Linked DNA regions of Coturnix japonica. The protein of the gene in region 1 interacts with the protein of each later gene in a pairwise test. Links are inferred from orthologs where the notes say so. Each region holds a gene or a part of one and is shown on either strand. Other genes may lie near its edges. The genes, in order: FGFR1 and GRB14.

Region 1 (7,255 bases):
GTCAGACCCCAAAGCCTTTAGGCTGCAATCCAAGCACTGCACTCCTCCCTCCGCGACATCTGCAGCTCCACAACAGCCTCCAGCCGAGGTCCTGACACCCGCGGTCACTAATGGCCCCCTTGGGCTCCCACAGGGCTCCGTGCCCCATCTTGCACAACCCTGGGATGGATGGCTGCTCCAGGAGCAGAGGGTGTGAAGGGGACGGCACAGAGGTGGAGCTGCAGCCACATGAGCTCACCTGGTGCTGCTCTGACATCACCCCAAAGCCCCGTGCGGAGCGCACCGCGTGAACAAGTGCTTCTTTGCCATATGGGATCTGGCTCCAATGCACATTACTACAAGGTGAGTAACCACTGCAGTGAGTAATGGGCCACCACTCATCCCCCCACGTGCTCTTGGAGCCCTGGATGCCATCGTGCTCCTGCTTCCCAATGAACCCTTTCCCACCACGGGGCATCCTCTGTCCCAAAGGACCTCATTTAACCCTGGGGCAGCTTTTGCCTCTTCCCTTACCAGCTCTTCAGCATTTGGCACCCAAACTATTCACACAAGGACAGGAACACCCAGCAAACACGGGCATTATCTATAGCTGGTGAAAACACTGATGGAGTGTGAGCCATTTATCAGCGGTTGGAAGGAGGAGGTGGGAACGCTTCATGGAAAGAAACAAATTCAATGGCATTTCTGGAAAGTATTTTCTGTCTCTCTGAGGTTTTGTTTATCAGCACCCCCCGGAACATGCCCTAATGTGGAGTGGCTACAGCCCCCCCCCCCCAGCACGGTGCACACAGCGGCTCCCAGCAGTGAGTCAGGGCACAGAGTGGGGCTCAGCTGCAGTGGGGCGGGCGCTGACTCAGGGGCCGACAGCAGAGAGTTTCCATTGCAGCAGGGATAGTGATGCACGCGAGGCAGAGCAGCCCAGGAACCCTCCAACCTGTGCACACAATGCACAGCTCCGCTCTGTGTGCAGATATGGATCCCCAAAGGAATCTGCTTGCTCCAGCCCCAGCGTGAGTTTCCAGCTCCTTCCATGCAAGCACTGTCCCTGCACGCTGCAATTTGCTGGTTGGGGTGGATTCAAGTGACTAAAAATGGAAGCAGAAAGCGAGGAACCAGAGCTAAGGGCCCCTTAGAGACCTGCAATTACAACGGCCACAACACCCACGGGGCTATTTAGGAGCTGAAGGAACACCCCTATGCCCACCTGTGCACGCTCCCACCCCAGCACAGCCTTTGCCCACATAGGTGCAACCTGCCAGCCCTGCTGTCCTCAAAATGACCCCGGACCTTCGCCCTGTGCTGTGAGTCAGGGCTGAGTGAGCTGCACATAGGATACACAGCCCAATGCTGAGCAGAGAACAGTGGGGAAACCCCTTCCCAGCATATGGCTCATCCCTGGGAAAGTGTCCAAGGTGAGGATACAAGCAGGGCCACGGCACCGGGACACCCCAGGTGGGAATGGGGCTGGGAGGGTCACCAGGACATCCCTAAGGGGCTCCATTTGCTCCACATGGGGACCCTGAGGTGATGCTCCCACCCATGGGCAGGAGATGGTGACCACAAATGGGAGACCCTGACAATGATGTAGGATGAATTTGGCTCCAAGCCCCTCCATGTGCCCTTGCAGCAGAAGGGCACAGCAAAGGCAAAGCTCCTGGTGGCACAGGGAACCTTTTCCTTGCCCTGCACTCCTTGACCCAACCGCCCGCTCAAAACCAAGTATTTGCTGAAATAAAAAGCAAACACGACTGCAGATGTAACTATAGGGAAAATCAGTAATGCTTAAAGCAGACGCATGCTTGGAAAAATAAATATCCAACTGTGCGGGCTGCATTCAGCATTAACCCTTTGCAGCCACATGGTGCAGCCTGTTGCACACCAACGGCTCCAGCACTGAGTTACAGCGCACTGCGTGCATGCAGTGATGTGAATGGGGGTCTGGTGGGGCACAAGGCTCAGTAAAAGCAGATCAGGTTTAAAAGAAGGGATGCCCACCTGGGGGCTTGATTTTCAGGCATGCTGATCCCTCAAAGGCTGCTCCATGCTGGTAGTGCTGAGTGCTCCAGCAAAGAGCTGCCCTAGAATGGGACACAGGGACACAGCCCCCACCCCCTGTTAGAGGCAGAGTAGTTACCCAGCTGGGAGGGAGCGGGATGGGGTTTGCTGCACTCAGCTCCTCCCAGGAAAGCTACTGCGGGCGGAAGGACACGCAGACCTATCCCCGCTGCTCACATTTGCCTTCATCCCCAGGAGCAGAAGGTCCCAATGAGGGTAAAGTCAAACTGCTGGGACAAGCATCTGTGCTCCAGGCCCGGCTGAGCAATGGGGGCTTGGAGATCCTCAGCTCCCAATACACTTCATTTGTTTTCAGGTATATAAACAGAGAGATCCCGTTTGCACCTGAAAGTAGCTCGGGCTCCTTCCCAGTGGGCGCAGTGCACACAGAGCACAGCGCTGCTCCTGCCGGGGCAGGGACGATCCTCATTTGTTTTAATCCTCACTGAGCAACACAAGAAAGCAACGGTGCATGCCAGGCACGGTGGAGATTAAGGGAGGAAGTGCTCCTGTGCGGGGAAAATGGCTGCTGGCCGGAGGGAGAGGTGCGGGGTCCTGCAGCATCCCGGCCGGGCACATCCCGGGATCTCATGATTGCAAATCAGTGCCGAGCACAAAGCTCCATCTCCCTGTGCCTGGGAGCAGCCTCCAAAGCCGCAGTTTTGTTAACGCAAGCACTCGCTAAATCGCACTTTGGAGGTCTGGCCGTTGAGCCGTGACGCCCGGAGCACCGCCGAGTTATCCAACAATCCACACGGCGCTCGGCTCCGCTCGCTGGAATCCGCCTCAAATGGACACTCAGCGCCGCTCGTTCCCCGCGGCAACCGCCGGCCTTAAACCGAGAACCGAACCGCTGTGACCCCACGGCACCACGCGGAGCCCCGCGCCCATCGGTCCCGCACGCATCAGCCCCGCGATGTCGCCAATGCTGCGGCGTAGGCGGCCGCCACGCTGCGCACACGCAGGAGCCGTTCCCCGATGCTGGCAAAGGACGCTCCGATCCCCTTCACCTCCCACGCCAACACGCACAAAGATCTCAGCCCGGCTCATTTCCATCGCCTCCGCAGCCGATTTGTACCGAAAAGGCCCCGACATCTCGAGTTCCAAACGCAACAATCCCAGCTCCTTCTCCATCTTCTTTTAGAAACCTCCAGACTCCCGCCCAGTAACTTTTGGCGGCCGCAGGCCGGGCAGAAGCTCCGGGCTCCCACCGGATCCTCAACACGGAGAGTCCCGGAGCTCGGCACCGAACCGAGCAGAACGCACCGACCCGAGAACCGGGCACCGAGCCACCGCGCCTCCGAAGTGCCGCCGGGCGGCTGCCCGGGGTGCCCTGGGGCTCAGAGCCGAACCCCCTCCGCACACACACCGAACCGCTCCGGTGTCCTTAAACCCTCCGAACCTCCGGTACCGCAGCCCCGCGCCCTCGGTACCCGCAAGCCGCAGCCCCGCGCTGCCCGCAGAGGGGCCCCGTCGGGCCGCCCCCCCCGGTCGGATGGGGATGGCCGCGATCCCGGAGCGATCCCCCCCCCGCACGAAGCACAAATCGCGGCCCCGCTCCCTCTCCCCGCACTCACCGGAGTCCCGCGGGGCGGCGGCGGAGGCGCGGTGCCCGCCGCTCCCGGGAACAATGGAGGGGAGCCCCGGCCGGGGCGAGAGCGCAGCCCCGCCGCCGCCGCGTTCACTGCGGCCGCCCCATGGCGGACCCCGGCCCCGAGGTGGCGGCGGGATGCGCTCCCGGGAGGCGCGGTCCGCCCCGACGGCCGCCGCTCAGCGCTGCCCGCACCGCCGCGTCCCCGCCGCGAGTCGCCGCCGCCGGACTGAGCCGCTCCCGCAGCGCCCCGCCGCCTCCCGCCGGCTCCTCCCCCGCCTTCCTCCCAGCCCTCCTCCTCCTCCTCCTCAGCGGCCTGATGGGGCTTGTAGTCACCGCCGGGCCGCCCCCTCGGAGCCCCCGGGGCTGAGCTGCCGGCAGCCGCCCCGGAACGGACTCTCGGGAGTGGGGCGGGGGGGGGTTTGAAGGCGGCGGTGGTCCCCGAAAACTCCGCTCGTGGAGCGGGGGGATCGCCGGATTGTTGCTCCGTTGCTCTCGGCTGTGACTCACCCCATTGTGTGCCCTACACTGCACACAGGGAGCAGGTGTGGGGCAGCCCTGTACCCCAGATCTTCTGCTTTGCGACACCCCGGGCACCCTACCCTTATCCCTACCCCTAACCCACATCGTGGGGCCGATTTGTATGGAGTTTCCATACCCAACACCTTCCTGGGAGCCACCACCACTGCTGCAGTTTGTGCTGTGCTTTTGGGTAACCTCTCCCTGAGCTCTGGTGCTGCCCTAAAGCTCAGCACCCCAAAACATCTCTGCATACACAGGCAGCATTTGTGCTGGATGCTCAAGTTGAGGACATGGAGGTGTATGGCCGTGCCATGAAGCCCAGCCTGGCCTGACCCACAGATGGAGCTCAGCTCTGGGTGAGCTCCCCAAAACTGGCCCAGGGTTCAGCCCAGCAGCCCCCAGTCAGCTTCACACCAAGGCAGCCCAGAATGAAGACATCTCCTGGCTGGCAGGGAAAGATCTGCGCGAGGCAATGTGCAAGTGATTAAGTTATAACAGGGAAGAGGACAGGCTGAATTAGCCCTGTCAATCACCATCGCTATATTTGAACCAAATGCTGGGCATCCATCTCAGGAACAGCCTCTTGCTGCTTCAGGCAACTGTTCAGAGTGTTGTGCCAAGACCTACGAATACTTTCTTTCCAGGATGACAGATGTGTGGACAGAGGGAGGGGAAGGTACCATGCGTTATTCCCTTGGCAAACTGAGGCTGCTGAGAGCAGGAAGCACAGAGGCAGGCAGAGGAATCACGTCCCTTTTGCTCTTGTGATGGTTTTTCTGCTGGATTCCATCAACAGACACTGGTAAATGGGCCCTTATGAGCAAAAGAACTGGCAGACAATAGGAAAAGCATCCCCTGCCCAAGGAGGCTCAGGGGTATATCCACATCCCCAGCATCAAACTGGGGCTCAGTGTGGGAATGACCATGAATTATCATCATCTGGTGGCACAAGTGGAGCATAAATGGGTCCTATTGGAAGAGCAGGAAACCCAACTCTGCCACTGAGAGTGATGGAGTCTGCTGGGACATTGGTGGGCACAAGGCTGGGGATGGTGCCTCAGTGCCCCCTGCCCACCCGGGGGGTTCTCCATGTGTGGCCATGATGTGCCATTCCATCCCACGTTATCAATGCAGCCTCAAGGTGCTGCAGATGGGGATTTCACAGGAACCCGGGATTGTTGTTGAACTGCTCTTAATCAAGAACAGCATGAGGATAAAAGGGACGTAAGGCTCCGTTGGCAGAACAGCCCACAGGATCTGTGTGCATGTGCTGCTGTGCTTGGGCAGCAAGGGAAGAACTGAAGGTGCTGCTGGGAGAATAGGGGCTGCCCTGACCTTCGGTTTCCCACTTAAAGATCCGCAGATCTCCCCTCCTCCCCACCACAAAGGGGCTCCTTTCAGTCCCTACTTCTGCATTTAGAAAACAAAAGCAGATGCAGCCAGTTTGGGTTTGGAGGGGGGGGGAGGCAGGAGCAAATGCTGAATAACAAAGAGCTTTCCCTGAAAGATCCGACTGACAAAGACTTTGCAGCTTCATCCCTCCCTGAAAAGGCCTGAGCACATCTGGTTCTGCCTGGCTGTGGGTCTGCCTGCCTGCAAGAGGGGCTGTGTGTGCACACGTGTGTTCTTTGCAGCGCATACATGAGTGTGCTGGAGGCTGGATGTGCACCGAGTATGCACCTGTACCAGGGCAATGTGTGCATTGGGTGGGCTTCAGGACAACCAGACCATGCTCTAATGGGAGCCTGCACCAGCCCCATCATCTCTGCTCTGCTTCTTCCTGCCACGCAGCCTTTGCAGGACCACGCACTGCTCTGAAGAGCTTCCAGGTGTGCTGCCGACCTGAGCAAACCTTGGAACATCTGAGTCACAACAAGCAGCTCAGCCACTCTTTCCCAAGGCTGGGGCTCTCCAGTTGCACAGCTCTATGTCTGGTGAACCATCAGAAGGAGAAACCCAGCCCCAAACCCAGTCCTGGCCACCCTGCCACCGGCCACAGGGACACTGTGGACCTGGCAGCCTGCAGAACACCAAGTTTCCCAGGGAAAATGTGACTCATGAAAACCAGCAGCACCAGGGAACAAATATTAGCTGCTGGGCATGATTTAGGAGCTGAGTACAGCCTTTACAGGAAGCCCCCTCTCTCCCTCTCTGCTCTGACTCAATAAAGTGTTATTAGAGGCTCTGGCTGCAGCCACATCGCTGCCAGCACTGCTGGGTTTCACCTCCCTGTGCCCCACTCTGGCCATGCTGGCTCCAGGATGCTGCTGTCCCAGGCTAAAGGGCTGCAGCACTGAGCTCAGCCACTGCAAGAGTGCTCTCCTTTCTCTGAGGTTCCTCTGCTATTTTCATCGACCTAAACCAGCTCTTTCCTTTGCTGGTTGCATCTTAACAGCACTGAAATATCTTCTGTCTGCGCCGCTTGGCTGCATGTCTGATACTGATGGAGGGGAATGGCCCCAGGCATTGCTCTCCCAGCCAGAGGAGAGGGTTAGAGTTGCTCAGGGCACACACAGGATGGCTCTGGGGGTCACAGATGTGGCCTTTGGGAAGCTGAGCAGGAGCCATAGTCAGCACAGCCAGGGAGAGCAAAACACAAAAGCCATCCTGCCTTGTATTCAAGGGTCCTGAGCACAGCTTTTCTGCCTCTTCTGATGTTGTTCCCAGCTGGCCATGTCCCCATGGCACCTCTCATCCCCAGTGAGCACTGCCCAGGCAGGGTGCAATCCTCCAGCAGTGCAATGTGCTGCTGCTTTGCAATTGCCAAATTCCACAGAGCCCATTTAACACGTCGGGTGCTATTTTACTGCCTGCAGACAACAGTTGGGGCAGACTGTTGCGTGGTGGTGTTTGCAGCCAGGGCAGCTCTCAGTGCTTCCCCAGAGCCATCACTCTATGGGCTATATGGGCTATATGCAGCACTATGGGCTGCATCCCACCCGTGCTGTGGGCTCTGCACTGCATGAAGCCCTCTGCATGTGTAGCTGCAGCTTCATTGGTGCTACACTTCTGCTACATGCAGGACCAAAGTGTCTGCCCAGGAAACCTGGGTCTGTCTCATGCATCCTTGTCTTGTACCTGGGCAGC
Region 2 (6,551 bases), on another chromosome or scaffold:
ACTAAAGAATTTTCTGAAATGCTCCTCTGCAAAAAAGAAAAACAGATTTAGTCTGTTTCTCTATTTTATTATTTTAACTAATGATCCATGTTTTAAGATAGAGCTTCTGAGTAAGTGCTATGTTTTATAAACAGCGTTTCAAATATCTGCAATATTTCCCACCACAGCCAAACTCATTATACCACAGGTACAGCCCTGTCCACTGCTACAGAACTAAATTTCACAGCTTGGCAGGACAAATCATCTTTTTTGCAGAACTGTGATACATCTATACACACTTTTAACATAAATTCTACTTATATGTGTAAGGTAACTATTCTTAAGTAGTTCAAGAAAAAAAGATAAAATAAGAAAATCCTACCCGTAATCATCATATAAGCAAAGAATTAAAGTTTTTTGCTATAATTTATGTATTTATTGTAAAATTTTTCCCTCAAAGTTTACTGCATTTAAGCACTGGAAACAGGCACTTCTTTGGAGATTAAGTTCTGTTTTAATACTCCCCTTCAAATTCCTGGCCATCAAAGAACAAGCACAAATTCAACAATTATGCAATCTGGTATTTAAAAAAAAAAAAAAAAAAAAAAAAGCCTGATTTTTCTTTCCCTCCCAGTGAATATCAAGTTTTTAACAACAGAATAAAAACAATTTCAGGTCTTAAAGCTCACCAAAACACTACTTTGAAATTCAGGTTTATAAAAAACTTGTTTGATGCTGATTGTAATGTCTCAAACATTGGCTGGTGCTGCTATGACAAATAATTAAAAGAACCTTCCGGAACTGAAGTAACATCTAGAACACAGGAGGCCCAGATTTCTGTCCAAAACCAAAGGAGCTCTGTTTTGTCCCTGCACAAGGGTAACTAGAAACAGAAGGCAGTAATTCTACAGGTCACTGTAGTCTAAGGTCTGAGTAACTGTGACACTCGGCAAAAGCAAAATAATAGGGAGAATAAGACAGTGTCTGACTCTAGGAGAGACGAGGGAACTTCTTGTTGCTGGCAAGGTTATAAACTAATCTGGAATATGAAAACCTGAACATACTTTCTCTATGAAAACACTTTCTCTATTTTCAATAGCTTAATCACTTCATTCTTGAGTTTATTTTCTGTTTAACTCACAAATTCTAGACAAGTATAATAATTGTATCATGCTTAACCCAGTTATATATTTGGCACTAGAATCTAGATGTGCTATAGTGTATGTGGCTGTGCAAGAGGAGACAGAATCAATAATGGCTCCCACACCCATTATGAAAGTAGCAGCTGGCTATCATTAGCTTCTTGTAACAGACAGTATAAATAGTCTGTATATTAAGTGTAATTGTGAAGCCGTGCTTATCAGCAATATCAGAAAACAGTATTTTTGTGAATCCCCATAAAAGCAGATACACATCTTAAGTGTTTTGTCAGCAAGAACTACATTAAAAAGCTCAAAACAAACAAACAAACAAAAAAAAACCAAACATCATAATGGATCCTGGCAACAAGCAATTTTTACACAATTTAAACCATAAAAAGCACAAAGTGCTATACATCACTCAAAAACAAAGAAAAGAAAAAAAAAAAAGAAGTGACTGGGATAAGTAAGATAAGGTTTTAAAAGGACAACCTGATCCCAAATTATCTGGCTGAGGAGACAAACAGATCATCAGTCTACAGAGTGCTATGCCTCCAAAATGCACTTTTGCCAAATTATGGTGTTCCTCCGAGCTTCAGGCAGTATCACAACAGGTTAAATCCAATTTAAATAAATAACCATATGGGGCAGTTACAAAAAAAAAAAAAAAAAAAGAAAAAAAAAAGAAAAAAGACAGAGACAGAAGCATTACCGCATACTGAAAAGGATTTGTTAAGGCTTTCTTATTCATCGTTTACAGTACATGTAACCTTAAGCACGTTATTCTTTTTTAATGCATTTACAGTTCTGCTACTTTTTTTAAATCCTCACTGACAGTGATAATAAGCCAATAAACTCCCCAAATACTGACTATCTGACAAAAGAGAAAAGCCTGCTAACTGGTCTGAACTGCCCAACTCATATTAAATAAGTAAATTAATTAATTAGCTCTCTCATCTACTCAGATGCCCCTAAAGATTTCACACATTCAAAGCACATTTAAAATCTGCAGGACCAGGTCAGTAGTGTAACTGGCAAAAGTCACTTAAAAATAGCATGACTGCAGAAACAGTATATTTACTCATGGAGCTACTGTGGGACGTACCATAGGTGTTATACTCAAAGGGCTGCAGCCACTTCTACCTTGATATGGTTGCATGTAATTCTGATACAGCTGCATCCCATACTAAAAACAGAAAATAATATGGTTAGCATTTTAAACCATAAGCCTGAGCCGAAGAAACTTTCTTCCAGGTGTAGAAGGCAATGCTATGATTCCATGATTTTTTATCATTATAAAGTAGGGACAAATGCTGTTAAGATAATGAAAAACAACATCGTTTTTGCTTTAGTTTTTCTAAACGTACATTCTACATGAAATTCTGCTCATTTAATACATCAACTGACCTACACCTGTTTTTTCCACAAACACATTTTTAAAACATCTCATGTATTCTTGTAGCTTTGTTTGCCATTACCAACATTGTCTCTAAGTTCAGCAAAGTTACATATAAGTGCATCCCTTCCCTTACGATTATTCCAGTAATTTGGCCTGTCTGGTGAGATGAAACTTCAGCTTTTGTCGTACATTGATAGCATTGATAATGCTATTACATGGGAACCTATAATTATGTTATTTCCCTACTTCACACTATAAAAATTAACATAGTAAACTTGAGAAAGAAGTTAACTCCACACAGAAAAGTTACCTTAAACAACCTTATTGCTGTCATCCAACAGGTCCTACTTTGTTCATCATCTGCACAGAGCTGTTTCAGGTCTCTGGTTCCTCCTGATTTGTTAGGCTAGAAGGCCACAGCACATTTTTTTTTTTAGCATTAAAGCATATCTTGAAGATAATACCTGTTGAAATAAAAGCCACTAATTCTCCTATTTTATAACAGACAGCTGAACATTGTTTTCAAAAGCCTTAAAGAAACTTAAGCTTACCGAAAAACTGTGGCTTGCTTTAATATGTATCAGAATGATAAGCTTGTACCTTAAAGCAGAATCCATAGCTTGTTGGTGCTCCAGAAATCTTTTTGCCTGTCAAAGACATGTATATATCACTATTGCTGAATTCACAGAAAAACTGCAGATGCCTTGGCTCCTATAAAGAAGAGCAATGTAATACAGTTAGACTACTTTTAGCTAGCATCTCCAGATAAGAAACTCAGAATAGTACAGCAGTTCTCTTGTTCCAAAATAAGGTCTTACATCTCAGTTTTAACTGTGATGCTGTCTCATGAAATCTAGAAAGAGGCAACTCAAAATTCACTTCTTAATGCAGAGAACAAATACCTTAAACTGGTCAAATAGTTTGCTCTTCCAGACAGAAAACATGAAGTATAGAAGGCATCAGATTTCTGGGAAAATATCTACTAGATTCACGTCACAGTAGGAGTAGAATTTGGAAGTTTTGGGAGTAGAATTCATTTCAACCATCAAAATAAAATATACTTTTAGAATTTGAAAAACATCACACTGCAGTAATTACTGTTGAGTATTACTTGTAGCTATTACCTCCATCTTCCAAGATAACTCTAATTAAGTCAGGCAAAAATAAATAAATAAATAAATAAATAAATAAATAAATAAGAAGAATCTTTCCCATTACAATAGATAGAATACAAAACATTTCCTTTTTAATCACATAATGTACAATTTAAATTAGAATTAATACTGTATTAAATGACAAATACATATACACGCACTCTAACTTCAGAGTTCTTTCCTCTGGTGTTTTTTTCCTTGCCTTACCTTAGATGTACCTTTAGTGGAAAAGTAAAGGCCAGATCTTCTCAAAACAAAGTATAATTTTTTCCATGATTTTTTTCCCTGCTCTTTTGCATGTAAATAACCATGAATCTCAGGATATGTGCTGGAGCTTAGGAACATCTGAAAGAAAATATCAGCCACACATTTCTCTTTTTATCTGAGGTCATCTTGCTATTTCATTATCATCTTCAGACAAGACTAAGAGGAATATACTGCTGATAACACTATTACACCACAGTAATTCAGTTATTGGATCTAACCCCATTAAGAGTACCTCTCATTTAAAGCATACAGACTATTACATAACTCCAAGGTATGCAAGGCAAGCTACATATTTATATGGAACATATGGTTTGAAATGAGAACATTAGTTATGCAATATGTTGACTTCAGCAACAAAACCAGTGTAAGAAGTTCTGATCCCATACCTCAGACCCTATTTTTATAAAACTGCAAATCAATGCTACCAACAGAAGGAAAAAAAATGACATCTCTCCTCACCCTCCCCTGCCTGCTACAGACCAAAAAAGGGAACTGATGCGAATTAAAATTAATTCAGCAAACAAAATTTCTTTATCACAAATCCACACGCGTCTGGAGGATACTACCATTTTCTAAAGAGGAGGAAACATAAGGTCTCTGGACCTTATGTGATGCTAAAGCGGGTGCTTTAGTTGTACCAAGAGCTACAGCAGGTATTTACTGCCCGCATTCAAGGTCATGTGGTGGAGAGCTTTTGGCTGAAAAAATCTGCATCAGGAGCAAGACAGGAGGGGTTTAAAGACTCAGAAGGTCAGCCCTTTTGTCTTCAGAACCATAGGCTTGCACAGTCACAGACCCTTGGAAAGTCAGAATGATATGGATAGAAATTAACTGATGCACCAAGAGGAGCTAATTCAGTTTTTTATTTTGTGCAATTCAGCTAATTGCACAGTCTCTGCTCAAGACATCCACTGACTTCTGCTTAGCCATTTTAGCCAGACACTGATAGAGAGCAATACAGCTGTCACCTAGTGAAGACCAAATATATAGTTCTATTCTGTCTACAAAATTGTACTCTAATTCCATTTAACATATTCAGTTCTGTTCCTCTTCCTTCAGTAAAACCAATCAGAATTATGACTGACACCTAAACACACTAACCCAGAACTTTCCAATTTCTATGTATGCAAAGGAATTCATATTTCCAATATGCCAATGCACATCCAAGAGATGCTCCAAGAAACAGACCACATTTTAAACAAGTCACAAGTCCTACTTAAAATTATACACAAGTTTCACATCTAATCAAACCAAGTGAATGAATTTGTTGCCCACCCCTGAGAGTTACCAGTTCTCAAACAAAACAAAAAAAACCCTCAATACATAAAAATAATAGAATATTTCATTGTCATTGAGGTTTCTAATTAAAATCTACATACTGCATTGATTTTATTTCAAGGCATCCTACTTGCAAAAATAAGTAAATATGTATTCCAAGTAACCCAAAGTGACTGCAACTAGACACATGCATATGGAACGCTCACGCTCTAAGCAATATAATCACAAACTTGTTTACTTTTTAAGGCTAAGGATCTTTATAGCTAAGATTAATACCCCATCTTGTTGCATATAGACATTTGGCATACTTTGGAACCAGTGATTCTATTTAGCACATGCTAAATAGAGAGGAGGCAGGTATACATTTTGTTTGCTGTTGGTTGTTTTTTTAAGGCCATTTAGATGTTCTGATTTAAAGTCATGAGACAAAAAAACTTCCTCTTTTGCTTTCTGTGAAAGTCAAGAAAATCATACTTGAAAAACATTTTACTTGCTTACAGGTCAATCCACAAAAAGCTATAAAAGTATCAGAAGTGATTTTTTAATCATTTGTAAGCATTGATTTGTTAAGATTAATGTCTCTCTTGATACCTGACCGAGCACATCACAAATAATAACACAAGACCATTAACTTGTCTTAATGAAAGTTTCCAAGGAAATAGCAACCCACTGTAAACTATTGACTGAAGAGCTTCTGCTGAAACAAACGTGGTAGCTACAAATCTGAGTGGGTCTTTATGTCTACCAAGTTTTGTTAGCCCAAATGCAATTAAACATACAATACAACATAAAATAGCAACAGATGAGGGATCACAAGCAATTTTCAAGTTTAACAAAATTGGAGAGAACTATATATATATTCAAAAGGATTCTCAATCTGATCCACAAGCCTTGCACATTTTCCACATACCACATATGTTCTGTTCTGCGGGCTGAAAGAGGTTCTGTGCACGGGTATAAATGGCAAACAGTTTCATCTTAAAATACTCAAATATGAGATTGTTTGCAAGCAAAAAAAAAAAAAAAAAAGAATTTCTCACAATAAGGGGGAAGAGATTTGATGACGAAATTAAATGCTTGCATTAAACTACATGATCTATTTGCTACATAAAATTTGAGTCAATTTTTATCAAAGACGTAACATCTTTTGATGTTACAGAATTTTTATTTAAGTTCATATAAATGATTCATATAACACAGTATGCAGCAATTACAATTTATGCAGAACTTTTAAAACTACATTTGGGGGTTATCTATTTGTTAGCATCCTCTTTTTTACGTATTAATATATGTAATACATAAATATAAAATATTTTATGTTAAATATATATACAT

Evidence for each region.
Region 2: the proteins of FGFR1 (region 1) and GRB14 interact in a two-hybrid assay, tested with the Homo sapiens proteins (2 studies listed by BioGRID, with this or other methods). The link is inferred for Coturnix japonica from reciprocal best matches to the Homo sapiens genes FGFR1 and GRB14.

What each region holds. Positions count from the first base shown.
Region 1 is NC_029537.1:3,723,653-3,730,907, forward strand, and holds the start of FGFR1 (fibroblast growth factor receptor 1), read right to left. Parts: upstream 3,837-7,255; 5' UTR 3,633-3,836; intron 1-3,632. UniProt on the Homo sapiens protein: Tyrosine-protein kinase that acts as a cell-surface receptor for fibroblast growth factors and plays an essential role in the regulation of embryonic development, cell proliferation, differentiation and migration.
Region 2 is NC_029522.1:26,425,334-26,431,884, forward strand, and holds part of GRB14 (growth factor receptor-bound protein 14), read right to left. Parts: intron 4,017-6,551; coding exon 3,879-4,016; intron 3,229-3,878; coding exon 3,118-3,228; intron 2,924-3,117; coding exon 2,828-2,923; intron 2,305-2,827; coding exon 2,224-2,304; intron 27-2,223; coding exon 1-26. UniProt on the Homo sapiens protein: Adapter protein which modulates coupling of cell surface receptor kinases with specific signaling pathways. Binds to, and suppresses signals from, the activated insulin receptor (INSR). Potent inhibitor of insulin-stimulated MAPK3 phosphorylation.